Macaca mulatta: one gene and its partner. The protein of the gene in region 2 purifies or fractionates together with the protein of the main gene of each other region. This does not show direct contact. Links are inferred from orthologs where the notes say so. Each region holds a gene or a part of one and is shown on either strand. Other genes may lie near its edges.

Region 1 (3,567 bases), on a different chromosome or scaffold from region 2:
CACCTTTTTATTACACTTTGAGGGAAAACAACACCCAAACAGACATTAAATTAAACTTTTCCAATAAAGTAGAAAGAAACTCAAGATTGCAACACCAAGTCTTACTAAATCTCCAAGCTGCTGGTTTGCCCTATGGATTTTGGACTTGCCAGCCCCCACAACTGCATGAGCCAGTTCCTTAAAATAAATCTTTCTCTTTCTCCAAGAAGATGTAAGTGGCTCTTTTGTTTAAAAGTTTGTTCATGAGTGCTGTTCCTCTCTTAAAGAAATAATTCTACTCTGTGATACTTTAATTAGTTGCTATTGACATTAATTATGTTACTGAATAATGAAGAGATGCCTAATCGTTCGGTTCAGCCTGGGAGTCAGGAACTAAAGTTCTAGTTTTCAAAGGGCATAGCAATTTATCTTCCTATAAAAATAGACACAAAAATGCCAACAGGTAGGTGGTTTCTTATAGGGGTGATGAAAATATTCTAAATTTAGATTATGGCAATGGTTACATAATTCTGTGACTATACTAAACCATTAAATAGTAGAGACTAAATGGGCAGGTTTTATGGTATGTGAATTACATCTTAAAGATGTTTTAGAAAAGGACACATAAGAGATTTGAATGCCTCGGGTTTTAATTACTTAAGGAGAAACTAAGAAAAAAATATTAATTTTAACATTTCATTATTCTTCTGTACTTACCCCAAATGTCAATTTGCATAACCCCTATTGAGGTATTAAATAATAGAAGTAAATGTTAACTTTATGCAAATCTTACAAACATCCAGACTTATAAGCAAAAGCAGGTGACGATCATATATACTTTACAAAGGGATTAGTCATGGGATGCCTTTAAATAAGGCTCATGTAACATAAACATACTGAAAACTAACGACAACTCGCTAATCACTTTTTAGAAACCCATTCAACATTCAGAGCAAGAATTATGAACACATTAAAAAGATTTCTCCCATCAGGAATGTAAGGACTGTTTACCTTGTGACAAGGAACCAAGCAATTTTACTGAAGTCTGGAGAAGGCCTCATATATGTCTTAATATGTGGCATGGCATTGCTGCGGCCAGAAGTCTCAGCTGACCATTTGCTAGTGACAGAAAAGACACAAGTCACTAATTACAAAATAAAACAAATTGATCTTAATCCTAATATTAGGAAACTGCATGAAAAGAAAAAGCCTATTATCTAAAAATTAACAGTGGCTACACGACTCTGTGACCTGTGATATTTTATACAACTGCGTTCAAATAACGCATGCCCATTTTAGAATTACAAACTTCCCACTTCTCACAAGAACTGTAACCTTTCAGCATATAGCCTTTCCATTTTTGCCATGAACATACATACACGCATACATATTATTTCTGGTTTTTTTTTTTTTTTTTTAGAGACAGAGTCTTGCTCTGTTGCCCAGGCTGGAGTGCAGTGGCGCAATCTTGGCTCACTGCAAGCTCCACCTCCTGGATTCATGCCATTCTCCTGCCGCAGCCTCCCGAGTAGCTGGGACTACAGGTGCCCGCCACCACGCCCAGCTAATTTTTTGTATTTTTAATGGAGACAGGGTTTCACCATGTTGGCCAGGATGGTCTCGATCTCCTGACCTCGTGATCTGCCCGCCTCGGCCTCCCAAAGTGCTGGGATTACAGGTGTGAGCTACGGCACCTGGCCCTTCTGTTGTGCTTTTAACAGCATGTGTGCATATGTCTCCTGCCTGAACTGTGAGCTCCTTAAAGGGAAGAATCATGCTCCCATGGAGTGTTACGATACAGGCTCAGCAAAAGCTTGTTGAATGAAACAAAATACAAAAAAGACAAAATACAAACAGTATATGAAAAAAATGAATGCTGAAAAGCGAGGGCAGAAACACTTTAGTCAAATGCTGACATTCACAAATCTGAGTTTGGTTTCTAAGTTTCCAATACTGTAGACTATGGTTCTATGGGAACCTATATAATGAAGCAACAATCCTTACTTATAGGAGGATGGTCCCCCCAGATTACCAGATCGTCTGTGAAAACAGAATCAGGCTTAGGTAGGTACCATCACTGTCTTCATTCAAGTGAATTTAATAATATAATACTGAAAGGAGTTCAATATAAAAAAATGTCCTCTGTAAGGAAAAACCTCTCAAGAAAGCATTAAAGAAAAGCTTCAGGATAACACACTGAATTACAGCTGAAAGCTATAATTCAAAGTAATTCTACTTTCATTTCTGGCTAACCAGCACAGCAAACACCTGTTGAGACAAGCATGAAACAGACTGGCCTTGCATATGCAGGCTGTGCAACTGCTGTGGCTGGAGAAGGATGAAGCACATTCCCTTCACTTGTCCACTCAGCATTTACTGAACTCTTGACAACATGCCAGATACTATCCTGTATCCTCAGGAAACAGCAGCATAGAATCTGCCCTCACCAAGCTTGCAGCTGCACATATGATGGTACAGACAGAATAATGATACTTTATATTTTGGAAAAATGAACTAAAATACTGCTTATGTAAATTCTAAACTACCCAGCATGATCTTTTATTTATCTTTCTTGGCATGCCAATATTTAAATAGAAACCTCACAGCAATAAATTTTCCTCTTTGGTATTAAGAACCTATTCCAAAAAAAAATTCAAAACCTTGTTTTAAATTATTTCTATCACTAACATATGTAGATGAAAGAATATAGCTATATTACATAAAGTTCCTTTTTAAAAAAAACAAACCAGTGACATAAATAACATTCTAATTCCTAAAGAAGCAATAGCAGCAGTCTAAACCAATTACTTACTGAAAATAGGAATGCAGCCAATTCTGTTTTTCAGCTGTCTGGATGCTATAGGGAAGAGAGCCCCCAGCTTTTAAAAGAAAAATAAAACAATAAAAATTATGAAATATAATTTGAGGAGCCCTCATTAAGAGGAAAATCTATAATAAACAGCAAGAAGGTAACAGGAAAAAAACTACTTCTATTACTTCATCTTACAGAACAGTTATTTGAAAGAATATCTCTATACTTGCATTAGATATGTTCTCTTAATGAGATTTCCTTCCTTCAGTTTTAACTTTATACAAATCTTATAAACATCCAGACTTATAAGCAAAAGTAAGTGATGATCATATACTTTACAAAGTATAGTCATGGGATGCCTTTAAATAAGGCTCATGTAACACAAACATAGTGAAAACTAATGACAACTTGCTAATCACTTTTTAGAAACCCATTCAACATTCAGAGCAGGAATTATGAACACATTAAAAAGATTTCTCCCATCAGGAATGTAAGGACTATTTACAATTCTTCTCCTGTGTCAAGAATAAAAGTAAATTACCTCATTGAGGACGAGAACTCACCAAGTAAAGCGGAACAGAGCTTTTTCCTGCAAAAGCTTCAACTGCAAATAACTAAAACCATTCAGTTTCAAAACTTCAACTGCAGATAACTAAAACCATTCAGTTTCAAAGCCAGTTATAAAACAGCTTTGTTAAAAATACCACGCTTTTCCCCATTAAAAGTACACTTTGAAAAGAAAAAATTATAATTGAATTACTTGGTGATGGTAATTT
Region 2 (3,567 bases):
GTCAGCCAAGTCCGAAGCTTTCTGAGGGACAAGAGAGATGCTGAAGTTGGTGTGAGAGTGGAGAAGGTGGTGAGGGGGTTGTTCCTTTTCAAACACTACTTAAGTGCCCAATGGAAACACCCTTACTTGAATATAAGGGACAAAGGGTTAGAAAGCAGGTTGCTTCTCATTCCAACGAGAGGGCTGCTGTGGCTTTGAAACACAGGGGGCTTACCTAGGAAGGATTTCCATGCCCTACCCTTCTGGGTGAAGACTAGCAGACAACATATACAACAGTCAAATGCAAACATTATCAGGAGGCTGCATAAGACATTAAGATTTATTCTTCCAGTTGCAGTTGACCCAAGGAGTTCTCTGCCCTGCTTTCAAACTTCTAGGACACTGCCTAGCGTAGGGTCTTCACTTACTGTGACTCGCTTCATTTCTGAGAACATGATCCGGTTTGGAATTTCAACCATGTTGTCATGAAGAAACTTCCGCCGCTCACACAGAGGCCTGAGGAGAACAGGAGAGCTGAGGTTAGGCCGGGATCCTCCCACCCTTATTAGGAATTCTGAGGAAGGAAGGGCCACAAGGATAAAGCTGCTACTTTAAGAAAGGGTTTGCCATGGATCAAAGACCTCATGTGTAACAGCTCTGCTGTCAAGGGCTGCAAGGGCTCCATCGTGACCGAAGATGGACAATTGTGAGCTGTGGCATAGAGCCAGTTCATAGTTGTAGTTCCTATTTCTACTTCATCAAGCGAGCCAAGGGAGAACTGGCCTCTAGCCCAGATTGTATAAATTCTGGTACCACTTGAAAAGTGACTCCAACTCTCATTTTTTATCCCCCGCACCCTGCTTTGCCCCAGGCCCAAGGCCAACCCCTGGGTAGGCAGGCTGAGACAAGCCTCGGGACCCAAACCCCAAATCCTACCCCCACCAATTCCTTCCCTCTCTACTTCTTTCTCCTTCCCCGATCAAGGATGTGGCTGCTGCAGGAGGAACAGGGTAGAGATACATTTCTAAGTGAGGAAAGGGCTGATATTGGTTTCTCAGGCACAAGCATATGGATGCAGCTAAGTCAAGACTGCTCATTCTCTCCAAGATGGTCCCACCCATAGCCTCCCCTATAATCAGGAGCTTCCTGTTGTCAGTCTCTTCTGAAATCAAAACGTTTGAGCTGAAAACCATCTGCCTTATGCCCCCAGGGGTGTCATTGGAGAAATAAACTGAAACCCCATATGCTCACAGTCTATTTCTCTGCAATAGTCCATTTTGCTTTAGTAGAGAAACTTCTTTGGGGGTTTGGGTTTCTTCTGTGACTTAAGCTCTCAGAGACGAGATGGAGTCAACATGTGGGCTCTTTCTTACACTGAACGGGGAGCGGACCATGTAGCAATTGTGCTTCCTCTCAGCTCCCTCTTGCCATTGCCTTTGGCAAGCTCCTGAGTGCAAACGTATGTGCCAGCTGGTTCCCCATACCCTCCTTTCCAACCTGAAGCCCCCATCTTCCTCATCGAGGAAATGAAAACAGATTCCTGGCAGTTTCTGGGTTTAAAGATGCTAGCCAACTCACCTGTCCATCAAGCTGACATCATTAAAGTAGATACAATCAAAAACAAACAGGCAGACATTAGCATCCTGGAAGGCTGCTTTCTGTAAGGGAAAATGAGGTAGTAGGTATACAAAGAACAAAAGTCACAGAGCATGACAAAATAAGGAGTACCAGTCCACTTCTGGAGGCCCCCTAAGGCACCGAATGAAAAAGTCCTATTTCTGCTCTGAAGCCCCTGGGCCATAAGGGCACTGAGCAGATAGTGCTAAATGGAAACCAACCCAATTATAACTTGGCTCCCAATACCAGTCCCTTTTGAGGAGAAAAGCAAAAGACAAAAAACCAAACCAGAAACAGGTCAGAAGCGAAGAATAAGGCCCACACTAAGTGATATTTCCTTCCTTTTCAGACTGCAGCGTGCATCCACATGTACATACTCATTCATTCGTGCACATATAGCCCTGAGGCAGTACCTTGTGCACTCCCAGAGTCCCAAAGGGCAGTGGTCTGCCTGTCTTGTTGTCAATCAGAAGCACCTCAGAATCCAAGATCATGCTGTGTCCCCCAGGAAAAGCCTGGGGGATGTAGTCCTTAAAGTGGGCTACCTGAAAGCAGAAGGGGAGCTTTGGTGAGGGATGACATGGCAGCAGGGACCCCAAACCATGCCATATAGGGCAAAGCCTGGGCCCCAGATGGGATACAGAACAACATGTGGAAGGCCCAGCTAATGCGCAAAACATATAGCTAGGCCTTGCGAGCCACCTGGACAAGAGGGAGAGGCCATCTGTTTCAGTACTTCTGTCCAGCCCCAGGAAGAGGTCAGCCCATGCTGAGTCACTTTCTATGGGCTGTAGAGAAGGTACAATTTTTGAGGCAAATGGAAGAAACAGAGAGATTAAACCTGTTGGGGGAGGAGGAGGAGGGTGGGTGGGCAGAGATTAGTGCCTACTGTGGAACATGTGTGACTGTCAGGCTGGGGATTGGATTAGGGGAGAACAGACTGCTTGAAAACAGAAAGGTAGAAATGAACCCCCTCAGGTGCAACAAGGAAACTTGAGCAGTGTCTTCTCTGAGCGGGAGCCCTGAACCCACAGCCATCACTACCCAGGATGCTTAGAGCAGGAACAGGAAAGGCCAGCACATCCATGCCATTCCCCTTCAATCCCTAACCTAGCCCTTTAAGAACCCAAATCACAGGAGAGGCAAAGGATGAGTGAACACTGGGTAAGGGAAAATTAAGGAAAGGACTAAATCTGGAAAAGTGTGCTTAGACTTCTTCCTGGGTCACAGATGGTGTCTATTTAACACCAACCTCACCAGAAGCAGCTCCTCAGTGATTTACAGTGCTTCACAGAACATGTGAACCTGCACTAAAGCTCCACAATGAGGCCACTGCTTAGCCCTCCTCTTGAACATATGAAACAAATGGCCTGCTTTGTTCCCAGTGCTCCAGCAGGAAGGCAAGGCTGAGGTAAGCATAGGGGCCACACAACACGTTCCCCTGAACCCCCTGGGGCTCTGAAAAACTGAATCTGGGCTAGGAAAGAAAAGGATAGCAAGGATAGGAATTCCATCTGCTCACAAGCTACCGGAGCCAGATGTTCCAGCTGCTTTTTCCTGAAGACACCCCCAAAGGTTCACAGTAGCCTTGGGAGTGGAGAAGGGCTAAGGAGTAAGGTTCCAAATGCCACCCCGATTAGAGCAGGAATTTGGCTCTCAGATGTCCCCATAAGACTGTGTTTATATCAGAATGTAAACTTCATGATGGCCAGAACTTTTGTCCAGTTTTCCCACTGCTATATCCCCACTAGCTATAACAATGGGGAAGCATCTGATAAATAATTCTTGAACAAATTAATGAATGACAGCCCAATAGCCTGTGGTATATAAGCCTTAGTCTAGCTCACGGGAAGCATCTGGGACATGGAAACACAAAAGATACACAGCAACTCACCAAGTGAGCTCACTGTCCCAACCAACATCACTGTGGGCAAAAGAAGTATCACTGTTCCAGGGAGCTCTATCCTCACT

Evidence for each region. The genes of interacting proteins can lie anywhere in the genome.
Region 1: the proteins of LIG3 (region 2) and TDP1 purify together in Homo sapiens (affinity purification with mass spectrometry; 4 studies listed by BioGRID and IntAct, with this or other methods). This does not show direct contact. The link is inferred for Macaca mulatta from reciprocal best matches to the Homo sapiens genes LIG3 and TDP1.

Annotation. Positions count from the first base shown.
Region 1 is NC_133412.1:163,256,236-163,259,802, reverse strand, and holds part of TDP1 (tyrosyl-DNA phosphodiesterase 1), read right to left. Parts: intron 2,859-3,567; coding exon 2,792-2,858; intron 1,099-2,791; coding exon 991-1,098; intron 1-990. UniProt on the Homo sapiens protein: DNA repair enzyme that can remove a variety of covalent adducts from DNA through hydrolysis of a 3'-phosphodiester bond, giving rise to DNA with a free 3' phosphate.
Region 2 is NC_133421.1:44,515,577-44,519,143, reverse strand, and holds part of LIG3 (DNA ligase 3), read right to left. Parts: intron 2,142-3,567; coding exon 2,010-2,141; intron 1,638-2,009; coding exon 1,558-1,637; intron 496-1,557; coding exon 408-495; intron 22-407; coding exon 1-21. UniProt on the Homo sapiens protein: Isoform 3 functions as a heterodimer with DNA-repair protein XRCC1 in the nucleus and can correct defective DNA strand-break repair and sister chromatid exchange following treatment with ionizing radiation and alkylating agents.